Arabidopsis thaliana: one gene and its partners. The protein of the gene in region 2 interacts with the protein of the main gene of each other region in a pairwise test. Each region holds a gene or a part of one and is shown on either strand. Other genes may lie near its edges.

What was found.
Region 1: the proteins of TCX2 (region 2) and BT2 interact in a two-hybrid assay, tested with the Arabidopsis thaliana proteins (one large-scale study listed by BioGRID).
Region 3: the proteins of TCX2 (region 2) and ASML2 interact in a two-hybrid assay, tested with the Arabidopsis thaliana proteins (one large-scale study listed by BioGRID).

The regions. Positions count from the first base shown.
Region 1 is NC_003074.8:17,906,918-17,912,842, forward strand, and holds BT2 (BTB and TAZ domain protein 2), read right to left. Parts: upstream 3,822-5,925; 5' UTR 3,555-3,821; coding exon 3,396-3,554; intron 3,319-3,395; coding exon 3,176-3,318; exon of another isoform or gene 2,972-3,175; coding exon 2,668-2,971; intron 2,396-2,667; coding exon 2,055-2,395; coding exon of another isoform or gene 1,997-2,054; exon of another isoform or gene 1,713-1,996; coding exon 1,565-1,712; 3' UTR 850-1,564; downstream 1-849. Other genes in the region: CEP3 (Cysteine proteinases superfamily protein), read left to right, coding at 181-453. UniProt on the Arabidopsis thaliana protein: May act as a substrate-specific adapter of an E3 ubiquitin-protein ligase complex (CUL3-RBX1-BTB) which mediates the ubiquitination and subsequent proteasomal degradation of target proteins.
Region 2 is NC_003075.7:8,479,448-8,486,724, reverse strand, and holds TCX2 (TESMIN/TSO1-like CXC 2), read left to right. Parts: upstream 1-1,748; 5' UTR 1,749-1,899; coding exon 1,900-1,962; intron 1,963-2,142; exon of another isoform or gene 2,143-2,387; coding exon of another isoform or gene 2,388-2,390; intron 2,391-2,394; exon of another isoform or gene 2,395-2,610; coding exon of another isoform or gene 2,611-2,616; coding exon 2,617-3,282; intron 3,283-3,383; coding exon 3,384-3,742; intron 3,743-3,828; coding exon 3,829-3,900; intron 3,901-3,985; coding exon 3,986-4,166; intron 4,167-4,252; coding exon 4,253-4,348; intron 4,349-4,444; coding exon 4,445-4,511; intron 4,512-4,603; coding exon 4,604-4,751; intron 4,752-4,830; coding exon 4,831-5,203; 3' UTR 5,204-5,630; downstream 5,631-7,277. Other genes in the region: NET1B (kinase interacting (KIP1-like) family protein), read right to left, coding at 5,631-6,656, 6,752-7,277. UniProt on the Arabidopsis thaliana protein: Plays a role in development of both male and female reproductive tissues.
Region 3 is NC_003074.8:4,096,911-4,101,230, reverse strand, and holds ASML2 (activator of spomin::LUC2), read right to left. Parts: upstream 2,033-4,320; 5' UTR 2,009-2,032; coding exon 1,661-2,008; intron 1,558-1,660; coding exon 1,426-1,557; intron 1,330-1,425; coding exon 1,165-1,329; intron 1,065-1,164; coding exon 954-1,064; 3' UTR 697-953; downstream 1-696.

The DNA of each region.
Region 1 (5,925 bases), on a different chromosome or scaffold from region 2:
TAATTGATTTATTAAAATTTTCTCTATGCAAATAAAGCATATTATATACAAAAAGCATATGTTTTAAGTATTTTGAATATAAGTTTATGGTGAACATAATCTAAAACATCAATCTTAGTGAGACAACAAATGCCGAACATTGTTTTTACTATAGAAAACGTGCTATGCATTCTACTGTAGGGTGTGTTTATCGGAGAATGCGGGACTCAGTTGAACCACGGGGTGGTGATTGTTGGGTATGGAGAGACCAAAAATGGAACAAAATATTGGATAGTAAGGAACTCATGGGGACCTGAATGGGGAGAAGGAGGCTATGTTCGGATAGAAAGAGGAATATCGGAGAATGAAGGACGTTGCGGTATAGCCATGGAGGCTTCTTATCCCACCAAGCTCTCTTCGACTCCTTCTACTCATGAGTCAGTAGTTCGTGATGATGTTAAAGACGAGCTCTAGAGACTTTAAGTCATTGAAAACTGAATTTCGAACCATTCTTCTAGTGAGCTTACACTGAGTTTATTATTTTATGGATTGAGGTTCATGGGTTTCAGTTTACACATTTATCGTGTATTCATCTTAAATTGAGACGATTTTTATCTCCTTGTAATATTGGCCAGCATTTGCTTTGCGGAAAAATGGCGTTAAATACTTTACTATGTGCAAGTTTAATTGACTTACAAAATGGCCAAGAATTGTAACTTTTGAGGATAGTGTTTGTAATTATTAAGATCATAAAACAATAATGGACAGTAAAACATCTTTACTATTACAAAAAGTGCAATTCAATTCTCCAAGATGGACGTTTTGTAATTGTAAAGATGTTTTTTTTTCAAATTATTTTCATATTTATTGACATTTTTAGGATCATAACTGGGAACAAACACATTGGACTTAACCCTTGTAAAAGATTACAAAAATTAAAGACATAAATTAAAACACAAAAACCAAAACGTCCAAATCAAAAGGGTAAACAAACCCAACGGGAGAGAAGCTCATAGGCTTAGAAGGGTAAAACGGCGCACCAAGCCTATGAAGCCACACCAAAACCAAAATTAGGTTTTACCAAAACATCGCCAAAGATGTTTTACGGTCGATTATTGGTTCATGTTCTTAATGTCTTACCAATATTATTGAACATATTTGGGAGTCAAAAATTTGAGTCTTTGTAATCACTAATCACGCTAAACACGATATTTTTTTATTTTCAACACACGTTTGAATTCAACTTTTTTGTAATCGCGAAACAACGGATAGAATTATCTAAATTTCAAAATTTTGGCCAAAGTCAATAACATTAAAAACACCTCTTGTAATCCTCCCTTTAATTTGAACATTTATTTGTTTTGTATTACATGCTGACATTTTTCAGATAAATAGAACAAAACAATTGAATATGACCTACTTATACAGCCAATTTAAAAGGGTTTACTCCTATACAAACTAAACCCCTCTAATAAAGAATCGAACTAACAAATACTATTATACTACAAAAAGAATGGATATCAAATTATAAGAAAGCTTCTTACTTAATCTTCTTCAAACCTAACTAACTCCTTCCTGGTTTTGATTAAACCCCTTGTGCTTGTTCACATTTGTTCTTCTTTGACTGACACAACGACGTCATAGCTTTTGCAGACACAACCCTTGTCACCAGAAGCTTCCACTTGGTGTCTTCACCCATTTTCTTGTCTTGTTCTCCCCGTTTCCTAAATTGCCTAGTCCCAAAAAAAAGAGTTGAAAAGAACACATGAGATTCTATTAAAATATCTACAAATTTCAAGAAATGGCAACAATTTGCAGCCGTCGGATTACGACCCATCATCAATTCACATAGCAATTTGCAACTTTTCTAAAGGTGGGTCTACACAAAAAGATAAACAAACCTTGTCTCTTACCAAAAATGAAATTTTTTCACTTTCAACAAAACATTGGTTTTTATTCATAAACATACTAAAAATCATCAATTTCAAACTTACTAATTAAGCGTAAATGGATTCGCTCATACTTTTTGATTTATTTCAAATGTGAAATTCCTAACAAAACAAGTTGGGACATACCTGCAGAGAGGGACGCGACAAGAATCGGGTTGATCACAAATCAAAGAATGGAGTCTAAAGAGTTGAAGCATCCGCTTGCAACGAAGACAACCCTTATCGTTATTCCTCCTCTTGCATACGGCAAAGTGACGTATCAAAAGCTGAAGACCATAACACGTGGAAAACGCCTTACAAGGCTCTGACTTTTCCGCAGTCATTGACTTTTTGTTGTTATCTACTACGTTTGATGGACCGACCAATGTACAACCTTGTGTGCATATGTGCTCTATGCACTCCATTGCCTCGCTTAGTTGCATGTAAAGATCCTGCTCCTTTCTATGTCGTCGCCTTCTTTTCTTCCTCTGCGTTAAATTATAAATCAACACATAATCAGAAAAATGACCAAATGTTTTGGGGTTAATTAGGTATATAAACCAAATCTAATCAAACATGAGTTAACTAATACTCTAAACTTTGTGCAACATGCCAAACTAAATAAACTGAATTTAAAAAAAAAAAAATTATCTTTTTACTAGCGCGGAACAAAAACTAAACCTAGCTGAACAAAATGTGTTATCGAAGGTACTAAGAAAAACAGAGATGCTGTGTTTTCAAAACATATAAGTAAGTTTACCGATTCGGCGTCATCGATGAACTGGAGAATGTCGAGCTCGAGGAAAGGATCATGTTCTTGAATAAACTTCCATCCTTCAGTCTGCTCAACGGTCTTAAACTGCGAATGGATCAGACGCATAGATCGAAGGCAAACATCGGGTGCGTCGCAGAGCCGAGCTAGCTGGAGGACGTCGACTACGTTCTCTGTAGTTAAACGTTGTACAACGCCTTTTGAGCACCGTTGCTTCAGCTGGGTGACCATGTAGACGTGAGACAACGCTAAAAGATGGATTCCATATCTCTCCATCTCATCCTCCGTCAAACTAAAACAGAGACGCAAAAGGGTAGTTTAGTCATTTCCTGACAGCTATTGTTTCCCCAAGAAAATAGCCCAAAAAAAAACAGAGTTTCTTCAAATCCGTGTATGAAAAAGAAAAACCGGGAAAATTGTGTAGTACCGGAAATAACCATCGGTTTGAAGTTTCTACATTTGGAAAATTCAAGAAGAATAACCGAACCAAACCAACCTAGAAGAGTAGAGGAATTTGATAAAAACCGAAACGGCGTCGCATGGAACGCCAAGAATCTTGATGACTCTTTTAGATCCACAGCCTCTGTAACGTCTCATCGGTTTCTTCATGATGTTCATCAGTACCGGTGAAGCTGAAGCCTGCATTATCCACAAATTTTAGCTAAAAACCAAACCAGAAAAATGTAAACCGTAAACCAAAATAAATAACAACTTACCAGAACGCCGGAGTGTGCCGGAATCCGACGGTTATCGGAGGTAACGATCTCAACGTCCGACGTCGGCGTTAGATTATATGAAAGTTTATCGGTGATTAACGAAAATCCGTCGTCTTCCGTTGTGGCGGGGACGGACATTGCGACAAGAACAGCTTCCATTGAAATTTTGTAGAGAAGAAGAAGAAGAGAGATTTCTGTAGGTTTGGTAGTTTGAAGAAGAAAGGCTTTGGCACATTTCTGGTTATATAGACATTAGCGAGGTGGGTCCTACCGTAACCTTTTGGTTGCTTACGTGGCGTCTCGCAAATATCTATTTTATTTTTGCGTCTCTCTATTCTTATCTAACACGCTCGTGATCTGTTTTCACTTAGATTATCACTCTTTTTTTTCTTTTTTTGGCATTTTTATGTGACGGGAATAGCATTTGTGGATAAAGAGATGAAGCTGGATCACTCTTTAAGTCTTTATTACAATAATTTATAACGAACAGGAGAATTCATATTCAAATTTATCTTCCATGAATCATCAAAAAAGAACTGAGAATATGTATCATAGTCGAACGAAACTTCCGAGTGTAGTATTTGAATACTGACAACAAATATCTGAAATTTTAAGTAGTTGGAGTTTTTGGTAAACTAATTCCTAAGTTTTTTTTTTTTTGGTCCGTGGAGATCATGAAAGTTTGGGGATAAAGTTATTATGCAACTATGAACTTTAAGACAATGCAATTATCACGAAATAAAATAAATAAAAACTTTAAGACAATCAAAGATATTGATAAGAGGATTAGGATTAGGATCAACTTGTTCCATAATTTTTGATGATAATTGTCACGAGAAGAAAACTCGCCCAGTGTTTTGTTTCCATGGCATCTTAGCTTATCTAGGGTTTAACGCAAATATTTTGGTTTATACCTTAAGTGGCGCCCCATTTTTTCCATGAGAACTTAGTTAAACAATGTCTCAACCATAGCAAGAGTGATGAGTTTAATTTCCATGAGAAGTTAGTTAAACAATGTCCCACTAACAAGCTCAATTTTGTATTTAATTTCAATTGCTTATATTTGTTTTAAACCTTTTAATATATATTACCGACTTGGTGTAACATGCATAAGAATTTAACATAGATAATGTTCTATTTGATTTGTGTATTGAGCTGGACCAACGGTGTAAGTTACACCGTGTAACACTGTCCGTATTATATTCCCAACATTAGGAAAATAAGATGAAAACAAAAAATGAAAATATTTGCATAATTTACGTTCCTGAAAAAAAGTGACTATTATAAGGTTGCTTTTGTTTGTGATCCGAAAAACAAGACGACCTTTTTGTTCCATGTAGGCAGATTTATGTTTTCTTATCAATCCAATGTGGAAAGTGAACAAATCCGGGACCAATATTGTTTTTGGCTTTGCGTCAAAGAGCTGTTTATTAAAAAAAAACTAGAAAAGCCGGTTATTGCAATAAACCGACCTTTGCCTCTTCCCAAGAGCCACCTCTCCTCATCCCTCGTGGCATTTTGTTCTCATCCAATCTTACACGCCCTCTTGTATTGCCAATTGTGATCCTTTTGTTTATCCATTGTGTGACTCAATCTGTGTCAACGGAATTTTGTGTTCGATTAAAATATTTTCCATAAGATAAATGAATACATGACTTTTAAATCGAACGTTCTTATCCGTTTTGGATATATTTTTAACTATCTTAGTAATAGCTTTGAATTTCGAACATTTTCTTCCTAATCGCATAGATCATTAACTTTTGTAATCACATATATTGTTTCATGGTATTTTTTTTTGTAAAAGTATTTCATTAAATTCCTCAATCAATCTAGGTAAGACTACAATTTACTACTAAATAATAGTGTTTTTTTTTTTTTAATGTTGGTAGAAAAATTAACCTACCATTTATAGCAAAGAAAAACTCTGTTTTTAGGTAATTGACCTATATTTTATCATTTTTAATATTAATTACTTTTTTACTTAATTTTCATGAAACATTTTGGACCCTGTCTATAATTATAAATTTGGAGAAAAAAGAACTATGAAATTTATGGAATTAAAAAAAAAAAGTGTATAGTGCGATTGTTACGTTGGATTTGGGGAGTAAGTTCGCCGCATAAATGTTGATTTGTTGGAAATTAGGTTTGGTGCAATGATTTTGATCCATTAAAAACGCCACGTGGAGAAATGAACATTGGCTTGGTTGGATTTGGAGTTGGCGTTTTGATCTCACGTCCTAGGCCAATGAATTCATCATTTCAAACCATTTTTCTTGTTTAATTATAAACACAGTTTTAAAATTAATGCAAATAGATTCATTGTAAAACAAAAAGCTAAAAAATTCAAAGTTTGTTGATAAGTTTCCGCATCAGAAAAATAGTGATCGGTCCGACCCATAAATAGATTTGATTAACTTTCTCATTATTGGTCGGAGTCTCGGAGATGTCCATTCCCCATATTATTGGTTGAATACTTTATCTAAAAGCCAACTTCATTAATACTAATCAGTGATGATTGATGATCCTGTCC
Region 2 (7,277 bases):
AAAAAACATTCGAACAGAAATTATTATGCCATTTTCGTCGTGTGGTCTCTCTTTGACCAATGCAAAGAGAATGGATGGTAGACACAAGATCTGGGTTACATGTCCACGTAGTTCGACGTTCGGACACCGTAACTTGCGAAGCCAATTTAAGTCAACGACTCAACGTCCATCCACGTGTCTGTCTACCATCCATTAGATCCCACCATCTCAATAGCGCACCATAACAAAGTAAACCACAGCGTACATGAACTACTCTTTCGTTATAAATCCATTTTCCCGCCCATTGTCACATAACGCCTAGCTGTCACTTTGTTAATTCCGAAAATACCCATGGGGGAACATGATGGCTCCTAGATAAGGACATGGATATAAATGTAAATTCGGTAAAAAATCACGTAGTAACAAAAACGTAACCCCACCGGCGATTTTATATTAAATTCTTAGGTCTTTTAAACTTTAAAGGCGTTCACGGGGAAGGCATGTTTTTGGCTATTTTTATTAATATCTTGTTTTAGTGGAAACATTTAAAATATAATACGTGAAAAGATGAAATTATTTTTATTACCATAGCCCGGCACTTTGTATTTTAATTACCACATTTTAGATCACAGTAATCATGTTACTCCTATTTTTGTTATGATCGTGAATGATAAAACATAAAATGTGTATATACAACCGACTTTCATGATCTAATGATCACATGGAGACAGTTTTAGTGTACAAAAATAATAGACACATGCAATCATTTCTTTTAGGTAGATCTTAATTATTTGTTAGAAGCGTGTACAAATAATTACAAAGTATTTGTAAGAGAGAAACTATTTGAGTCAAACAGATTGGTACAAGAATGTCTATGACAAGAAAAGGCAATTTTATGCAATAATGTACATGATTTATCGAGCGTTATTTAGTCATTAGTGTAAATCATAATTTATTATTCTGAATAATTGACCATAAACGCTTTCTCGTGATTAGCAAATCTAGTGACTACTGATATATAATTCTCCCAGTTTTAGCCTTATAATGTGCTACTGACCATAAACAATCCTCTCTGTCAGTCGTCAGTCTTTTAATTCTCTCTTCTTTTTTTTCCTCTTATGCACTAAAAAGCGTGCATTACTGTTTCGGGTAATTTTATTTTTTTGTTTGCTAACAAATCCATAAAATTATGATATAGCGTATAGAGAGACATATTAAGCGTGCATGAACTAAGACTTGGTTTTTTCAACGTTATTAAACAAAAAAAAAGACTTTCAACGTTATAAAAACAAAGACGTATTCATTGTTAGTACTTAGTGGCAAATTGCATTGTAAATAAACCACCTAACAAAAGAGAGAAAACAAATTTTTTTTTTATTGCATAGAAACAAAAGAGAAGCAGCAGCAGTGAATAATAGAACTGTAAAATTCTCAAATTCCTTATTCTATTATTTTCTGTCCACTAATAATAACTAAAACAAAAAAGAGAAAAAAGGGAAAAGAAAAAAAAAACTGATGTCCGTTACTTTATTAAAAGGTTTAGGAATCGAGAGAGAGTATATTACTTATACTTGGACTTAGATTGCAGACAAAGCAAAGCATCAAAGATTCATTATTCACTGCTTATACATACACAGATACATAGAGACACTTGTTGTATATAATACAGAGAAAGAGAGACAGGTGTTAGGGCAAAGTTGATAGTAGTGGTGGGTCTGATTTCTGACATAGTCCCCATTTCCCGCCTTTGCTATTGTTTGAATATCTCTCCTCCTCCTCCTTCTTCTTCCACTAAAGACATATATAGAGAGAGAGAGAGAGAAACTTAATAAAAGACTGAGACTTTCCTCAGAGATAAGAAAGAGAGAGAGAGTGACACTGTGTTTGTGGATGTGATTTTTTTTGTTTGTGTGTTGGAAAATGGATACCCCTCAGAAGAGTATTACTCAGATCGGAACTCCAATTTCCAAATCCAGATTCGAGGTTTTTCTTCTTCTGTATAACTCTAATAATTGGTTTGGTCAAAGTTCTGTGTTTTTGTATTTTAATGAAATGTTTTGCTGTTTTTTTGTGCCAATTATCAGATTTCTCTGAATTCTTTTCTAATTTATTGTCATAGAAATTCAGATTTCATAGGTTTAATGGACCAATTATTCAATTCATTTTTTTACAAAAAAAAAAAAAAAAGTACTTTGGTTTTGTGTTTGAAGTCAATGCAGTTAGTTCAAAGACATAACTGTAACTGGTTTTAGATTTGTTTGACTTTGACGGTTTTAGTTGTTTCACATGTTACAGTGAAGTGTTGTTAATTATGATCAGTTATCTCCAATTCTCACTACAAATTCTATACTTTTTGTTTCTGTCCTGTTTTTCTTAAGATTCTTTGAATTGTGGAATCTGTAACCTTAATGGTACAAAAAAGATTCATAATTATAATGCAAATTTTAGTTGTTTTAATCTGATGGTTTAGTTGTTTCTGTCATATTATGATTATTTATCCCTAATTCGCTAAAAGATCTGTACTTTTGTTTCTGTTCTGTCTCATAAGATTCTTTTAATTGGAATCTGTAACCTTAATTACAGTACCAAAATAAGATTCATAATCTTCCCCTTTTTGTGTTTTGTCTGAAAATGCAGGATTCTCCAGTGTTCAATTACATAAACAGTTTGTCTCCAATAAGACCAGTCAGATCCATACCAAATCCTAACCAATTTAGCTCTCTGAATTTCACTTCCCCTCCCTCTGTTTTCACTTCACCTCACCTAACTTCTTCTCACAAAGAATCCAGATTCTTCAAAACTCACAACTCTTCTTCTTCTGATCCTACCAATTCCGTTGAATCTCAAGAAGACGAGTCTACTTCTCATGAAGAAGTTCCAGCAGAAGGAGAAGATACAAAAGGTCTTAACATAGATGATTGCATGCGAGAAGAAGCTTCAGTTGAAACGAATCTTGATGATTCCGTTGCTTCACCGTGTGGTGGAAATACTACTGATCTTTCGCTTGTTCCTTACGCTCCTACTCGAGGAGAGGATGGTTCTTGTGAGGATAATGGAATGGAGCTGCAGAAGATGCATGATAATGTTCAGGGGAAAACTGAAACTCCGGATTGGGAAAGTTTGATTGCAGATGCTTCTGAGCTGTTAATCTTTGACTCACCTGATGCTTCTGAGGCTTTTAGATGCTTTATGATGCAGAGAGCATCAAACTCTGAAGCACGTTTTAGAAATGGTGTGGAGAAGCAAACAATGCAGCACGATTCAAACAAGGAACCGGAGTCCGCGAATGCGATTCCTTATGAGGTAAACTCAGGAGTAATATCACAAGTAGTTATCTTCAGTGTTTTATAAATACTTACTGTCTCTAAAAGAGTTGTCTTCTTGGTTTTTGTTTTGTGTGATAGGCTGTTTCACTCTTGCACCGTGGTATAAGAAGACGTTGTCTTGACTTTGAGATGCCCGGGAATAAGCAAACATCAAGTGAGAATAACACCGCGGCTTGTGAATCCTCTTCGAGATGTGTTGTACCGAGTATTGGTCTTCATCTAAATGCCATTTTAATGTCTTCAAAGGACTGTAAAACCAATGTTACTCAAGATTACTCATGTTCTGCGAATATACAAGTGGGTTTACAAAGGTCCATCTCTACACTGCAAGATTCTTTGGACCAAACAGAAAATGAAATCCGGGAAGATGCAGATCAAGATGTTCCTGTTGAACCAGCTTTGCAAGAGTTAAATTTGAGCAGCCCTAAGAAGAAGAGGTAAGATTTTTTCCTTTAAGAGTAACTCCTCTGTGTAGAGTCCTTTTATCTCTGTCTTAATAACTGTTGGCATGATAAACACACAGGGTTAAGTTGGATTCTGGAGAAGGCGAGTCGTGTAAGCGATGCAACTGCAAAAAGTCCAAGTGTTTGAAACTGTAAGCTCCAAAGTTCCACATTTTTGATCTTTGGCCCTTCAAAAAAGTTTGGTGTTTTGAGTCTTCTGATGTTTGTGTGGTGCAGTTACTGTGAATGCTTTGCTGCTGGAGTCTATTGCATAGAGCCATGTTCATGTATAGACTGCTTCAATAAACCTATCCATGAAGACGTTGTCCTGGCGACTCGCAAACAGATTGAATCTCGGAATCCACTTGCATTTGCTCCTAAAGTCATTAGGAACTCTGACTCAGTTCAAGAAACCGGGGTAGGATTCTTTTCCCCGTCCTTTGATTCCTCTGCATCATCCATCTATCTTGCTTGAAGTTATAATAATATTGTAATGACACACAGGATGATGCAAGCAAAACTCCAGCTTCTGCGCGCCATAAACGTGGCTGCAACTGCAAGAAATCAAACTGTCTGAAGAAATACTGTGAATGCTATCAGGTTTTTATTTTCCCTCATCGATGTGCTTTCAATGGTTCCATGTGATTAACTTCCTATGGCCTGATTCCGGTAATTTGGTATGTTGTTTCTTTAAAGGGTGGTGTGGGCTGTTCCATAAACTGTAGATGTGAAGGATGTAAGAACGCATTCGGCCGGAAAGATGGTTAGCTTCTCTGCTTCTGAGTTTTCAATTTTTCATTACTAATAACCTCACATTCTCTTTCTGATTCTGATTCTGCTTAATGAATATCTCAGGGTCTTCCATTGACATGGAAGCCGAACAAGAAGAGGAAAATGAAACATCTGAGAAAAGCAGAACAGCCAAAAGCCAACAAAACACTGAGGTTTTAATGAGAAAGGACATGAGTTCTGCTCTACCTACGACACCAACGCCGATTTACAGGTAGAATATCAAATTCTAGAGGACTTTTTATGTGAGTCTATATCACCTGAGTAGCTGAGTTTTTTGTTTTTTTTTTCAGACCAGAACTGGTTCAACTACCTTTCTCATCATCTAAGAACAGGATGCCTCCTCCACAGTCTCTTCTTGGAGGTGGATCTTCCTCAGGGATATTTAACAGTCAATATCTAAGAAAACCAGACATTAGTTTGTCTCAATCCAGAATCGAGAAGTCATTCGAGACAGTCGCAGTTGATGGAGCTGAACAAATGCCTGAGATTCTCATCCATTCCCCTATACCTAACATCAAGAGTGTCTCTCCCAACGGAAAGAGGGTCTCTCCTCCTCATATGGAATCATCTAGCTCAGGCTCAATCTTAGGGAGAAGAAATGGCGGGCGGAAACTGATATTGCAGTCGATTCCATCGTTTCCTTCTCTCACTCCCCAACACTGAAAGCATTTGGTGTTGTGTAGCTAAGGAAATTCTTTGAATCTTTTTCAAGGTGAAAGATGATATAAGTCAACTTCTAGTTGGTAGTAAGTTAGCACTTAGCACACTTTTAAATCTGTAGTCTAGTCGTTGTGTAATAAAGATGTCAATCCATCATGTTCTTCACAACAAAACCAAACATTTCTTGTAATATAGGTTCCTTCTCTTGAAGTTCTACTATATCGAAACATACTGTGTCTGCTTCTAAAATCCGAGTTTCTGCCACGTTTCTCATTCAACCCCAGCACTAGCTTTATTTTAAAATACATCTTAAGCTAGTTGCTACAATATTTCAGAAATCATATCATATTATACTCTTCTAGAGTCAGTTCAATGAATATCTTTACAATAATCTATGAAAGACTAGATGTAATTTACCTTATGAACCACCCTACTCTTCTTTAGTCGAAGACCTTATACACCCGCAGAACCGGTTTTTCTTCTTTCTCGCACTTCTTTTTCCGCCCTTATGAATAATGTCTCTCAAGAGAATCACTGTCCTAGTCTCTGAAAACATTTTCCTTCCTTTGCTTTTGGTGCCATCTTCAAGCTTCAGAACTGTTTGCTCAATGTTCTGCATTTTGTTTTGCAGCTGCTCTATCTTCTCAGACCCGCTTCTTGACTTCTCCACGACCACCTTTCTGTATATATCTCTGGCATCTCCAGTCTCTTCAATTTCCTTTGAAAGAATCTCGTTTGTGTTTTCCAGCTGCGAGACAGCTTCTTCCATTTCTTTCAACTGTCTCTTCACTATAACCAAATCAGCGTTGCTGAATCTTCTTTGTTTCTCATTCATCTCCAGCTTTCTTTTCAGATCTGTTAGGCTAATCCGGAGACTTGACAGTCTCCTTGAATCAGACAAAAGTCTCTCCAGAATCTTTGCCTTGTCTTCGATGTTTCTAGATAACTCTAGTTTGTCAACAACTCCAACCGCTTTATCAGATTCTATAGAGGGATTCCGGCTTTGATGACGGAGATTGGAGTTCAATGACCTCTGCGGTTTGTTACTGTTGATGAGAAAGTTTACACTGGTCTCTGATTCAGCAGATTCATCCCAAAACTCAAACATGTCATTGGAACCATGACTAGTTCCCTGGCTTCTGCCATAGGTCAGGGAGTCTGTGACTTGATCACGAGGATTGTCTTTCATTAATAATTCATTTTTCACCTCTGTCATCTCAGGCCTCAATCTTGGCTGTCTAGATTCACCAGTGACCTGGTCATCAGGTTGTATATTTTCAATCTTCCTGCGGTCTCTGCGTTTTTGGGAGGTGCTTCGTGTTATTTGCCTTGATAGCCTGCCTTTTTCTTTAACAAATGCTTGTTCGATGGTCTTAATACTTGGATTAATTTCCTTCAGAATCACAATTCCATTGCATGGGCTGGTGGTACTGCCGCTTTCTTCCAGATTGTTTCCCTGAAAAAAATGGAAATGTTTAGAATTATTTAAGATCGGTACAGCGAGAAAGATGAGTTGACATTTGAAATAGAAGAACGAGTGCAAAAGTTTACCACTCTTTGTTGATAGGCTGTTGCAGGAAATTTCGTTAAAGCATGTGTACTTTTCTCAAGGGCTTTTACATCCCCTGCCAAAGATGCTATCACAGGATCATAAGCTGACAACTGACTCTTCAGCTCAGTCACTTGAGACTCCAAAAATCCAACTGTTTCTTTCATCTGTTTAATCTTAGTCGTTTTCGTAACAACTTCATCATTGAGGTTTTCACAAACTCCTGAGAGTTCGTTAACTTTGTTCTCAAGAATGAGTTCACGGATAGCTGAGACCTGAAGATCAAAGTAGAAAGATGTTGCCGCAGAATCCCAAAGTCCAATCTCATTGCTTTTCTCTTGCAGCTCCAAACTCAGGTACTCCTCTCGAACCTGTTGTCGTTGAATTTCTTTGTTTAAAAACTGTACCTCTGACTCCAAATTCTCATTCAAAGCGTTAAGTTTTCTAATCTCTTCCTCCTGTCTTCCAGCAACATCTGACAGTTCAGAAATCTGCCACTCTAAATTTGCCCTCATCCGTCTTGAGTCT
Region 3 (4,320 bases), on a different chromosome or scaffold from region 2:
AGAGGGCTTCAGCCTTCAACTTCACATATATTCGTCAAAGCAGAAAATAAAGGGGACAACTTCAGAGAATATAATTTGCAGATTTTGAAGCCTTATTATGTTTGTTATAAGAATTATATGTCTTAAAAAGTGATTGGAACTTGGTTCCGTATCATGTCTTTCATCTCCACTCTCTCTATGTTTTCATGCATCAATAATAATAATCCCTATAATGAATAATTGGATTCTTTAATTTGTAGACAGCATTCTTTAGCTCCTTACCTATCATTGCAAGAATTTGTGTACAACTTATCATGTTTCTATGTTTTTGTTACGACCAATTAATCGGCATTATTCTTTATATCCATTCATATGTAAGCATCGACGAAAGAAAGAAAAGAAAGGGCGCCACAAGCTATGTTACGTTAAGTCATTCGTCTTATGATTAAAATTGCATCATATATTCCTTAATACACAATTGTTCCATGAATCCACCAGTTAAGTAATTAATCTCTTATCGACTCACCCAATTTATTCGCATATCGTAAAAAGATGTTGTTTGCCTTAAATAATCTCAACAAACTTTTTACCCCTCTTAGAATCGTCTTTTTGGTTTCCACATGATATGAACTTTGATTTACTGTGAAAAAGGTAAAGTAGATCAACGTAACTTTTTTTTTTTGAAGAACACAAAAATCCAAAAACCATAAAAACTTGCTCTTGTATTGAGATTGCCTGCATTGGCTGAAATTATCCTCACGTCATAATTAGATATGATGATTATAAGTACGTAAAGTTCTTTTATTTATTCACTAGACAGAATCTTCATGTTCAATAACCCCAAGAACAATTAAGTACAATATGATAAATCTACCATAAAATAAATAAGCTGCTTAGTAAAACTAAACTAACTGATGAAACTTAATATCTAGAGACATTAATTGATTCGGAAGTAAATGAGATAGGTAGTGACATCAGAAGCTCCAATTGGTTGGATGATGAGCATCTCCAGGAGCGTCAAATTCACAAGGAAAAGGAATCAGATTGGACATTGCTTCGTGAAGCCATCCGTCATCGTGTTCCATCTGCTTTAAATTGGGATGCATTGGTTAATTAGATTTACAAATTACAAGTAATGATGGCATATAATAATATACTAGTGTCTTGGAATAATTAAATAAATACCTGGATTAGATAGTCGTCTGATCCTGAAAACATATCTTCCTCTTTTTCAGAATGGTTGTTGTGATTCTTAGACATGTGAGGTTGTTCTTCACATGTGTCATTGTTTCTAGCAAATCGGCCGCGAACACGAACACGCCTGTCGGCTAGGGTTTTACGACACACATACTGCATACACACATAATCATTTGAAAACATTCAAAAATGAATATGTAATTAACTAAACTAAATAAGAATGAGTGTAGTATGTATATGTATACGTACCTTGATGGTCTTATTGAAGTTGCGTTGGTTCTTCTTCTTCAAGTACCTCATGATTCTGTCTTTACGTTCCTCCACCGAATAGCGTCCCACTTTTGTATTTGGCTCAGCTTGTATCCCTCCTTCACTATTTCCCTGCTTCACACAAAATATTTATTTTATTTCGTTTCTTGCATGCGTATATATTAAATGTCTCTCATATTAACTATAAGATTTTCAAACGTGAATATATACGTACCCAAGATTGCTCTCCTGTGGCCGGACGGAACAAGGGCTTGATCTCCGGTGAAAAGCCGTAGTATTCTTGATGATCTCCACCATGAAAGTAATGTGTGGCATTATTCACACTCATTTTCTGGTAATAATTGTTGTATTCAGGCACAGAGACGTCAGAAATCCCAAAGACTTGGGGTACAAAGATGGATTCTGGATTAGAAGAGGTGTTGAAGGAGCCATAACAGTCGTCGAGGTAGCTGGATAACGAAGAGTCCACGTCAGGACATGAAGAAGAGCCGTGAAACTGCGAAGAAGTCTCGCAGGAAAATGTTGTGAAATCAGCGTAGAACTGAGGAAGAGATGATGCCATTTTGTTATAAGTTTGGGGTTGTTTGGGAGGAAATGAGAGTGTGTGCAAGTGTCTATATATATAGGAAACATAGAGAGGAGTTTTTGTGTGAGGATGTTACAAGTTGTTGGGTTCGGGCAGGCTGACCGTAACACAAATTGGGCTGACCGAAAACACCAAACTTACAGTTAGTGAGACTCTATGCTCTGTTAATAACTTCTTTACACTCTCTTTTCATGCTGTCAAAGCCATTTTCTTAACTTAAACATCTTAATTATTACCAGCTCATTTTTCCTTTTATGTTCTAACTGTTTCTATTTTCGTTTAATTTTTGCACTTTTCTTTCTACATTCATCCACCTATCCTTCTTTCGGATTTGCCATTGTGCTTGTTTTATCTCCCTTAAGAACATTTCTTTTTGTAAAATTTTCAACTACGAGAAAATGAAACTTTAAACAGCTTAAGTCATCGAATTTAATAATTGATATATTGTAGATACTAAGATACATCTGTCGAATTGTGATACGTTAGACAATGGAGCACAGCCGAATAATTAGATATCTAATTTAAGCCACACCAATTGTCCTTAGTTGCCAATGTTCGTGTCTCGTCATTTTTTCAATAAACAGAAAAAAAGAGAATTTTAAAAACCGAGAATAAATGTTTTCGCGTTATTTCAAAGGGCCGTACACAAATACACACGCTATGAAAACTACGTAAAGAGAAACCCTACGCCTAGCTCCAGAATCTTAACACATGTTCTTCTCGATTGTTTACATTATAAATTACTCCAAGTACAAAACAGCCCCCATGACTTGAATCCACCAATAAATATTTAAGCAAAAATGTATATGAACTTAGATTTGTGTGTCTATTTACCCCCTACCTCCTCAGTCCAATTTAGATTCACTGGTTACATCATAATACTACGTTTGCATGACAACCATGCATGCGTATTTTACAAGATTTGATATCTAAACTCTGGTCGCCAATGCTTAAACTTTCGAGCCGGGAATTATAAACCAAGTTCCGTATAATCTCCGGGATCTATGAAGAATTTTGCCATTTAAACCGTATGAAAAAAATTTCAACCACTGAATCACCACGAGTTAGGGTTTGTTTTTCCTTTTTAACTAATAAGAATGGGAAATTGAGACATTAATATGTTGAAAAATATAATCAAATATGGGTGATGGAGAGATAGGAGATCATAAGTGTAGATATAAAATACGGAAGGCTGCCTCCAAACATGTTCAGTGAGATAGGAGATTCGAAGAAAGATGATGGATGGGTCAGTCATGACATGACTGAATATGCATTCAAAGATTAAAGGGAGACATGTTTTTCTTCCCTTTATCTTGTTTTCAGTGAAATTGTACAACTTCATAATATTAGATTCTCTTTCCATGATCTGCTTAACTTCAAACTCGTCCCATGGACTAGACAATGAAATATTTTATGAGAAAAAAGAAGATCTTCCAAATATCTCAAATTATACATCATAAGATGTCAGTGTTACATGTCATATGATATTTTTAAACTCTACCATAGCTGATCTTATCTTATCCTACTTGTGGATTTAATTATGCTCTTAAAAAATAGAATCTCATCAGCATTCCCCAGGAATAGTAAATCATCAATATCTGAAACTCTGCGTCCGAATGCCTTCAAAGTACTGATACCTTTTTTATGTATATAATTATGAGTTACTTAGTGGCTTTTTGTTCAAACTTAAAAAGTTGTTCTTGGGAAATCTTGCTTTCATGTGTTCTGTTAAGCTAAAGCGAAACTGATATCTTAGTTCGATCTTTGTTTGTTATCTGAAAATATTCCTACCTTTAATTATCCTACACTAAAAAGAAGCATTCATTTTTTCCTCAAACAAAGACTGATCTACACAGTTAATTACTCTTAAACAATGTATGCTATAACTATTACAAAATTTTAGATTTTTTTTTTTTGTTGTTGAATTAAAAAAGGGAGATAAAAATGAAAGAATTGGATAAAATGAAAAGAGAGAAAAAAGAAGAAGGTCAAAGTGCAATTGTTGCAAGTTGTGTTTGGCTATTGTTATTGGTGCATGTTGCCTGAGAACTGAATCTTAGGCATGTAGCTGTTCCCTTGAAGAACCAAAAAAGAAGCAAGAAAGTTTTGGTTTTTCTCAACTTTTTTTTTACATAAAAAGTAATCCACTTTAGAAGAGTATTCTTGTCCCACAGAGTAAAATTCTCTATTGTATATTGCTGCCAAAATTTTAATTATATAAGGGAAAAAAGAAAGCTGGTAGCTAGATATTGTGTTTAAAGATATGTCCTGATTTTGTTCTCAAGGTT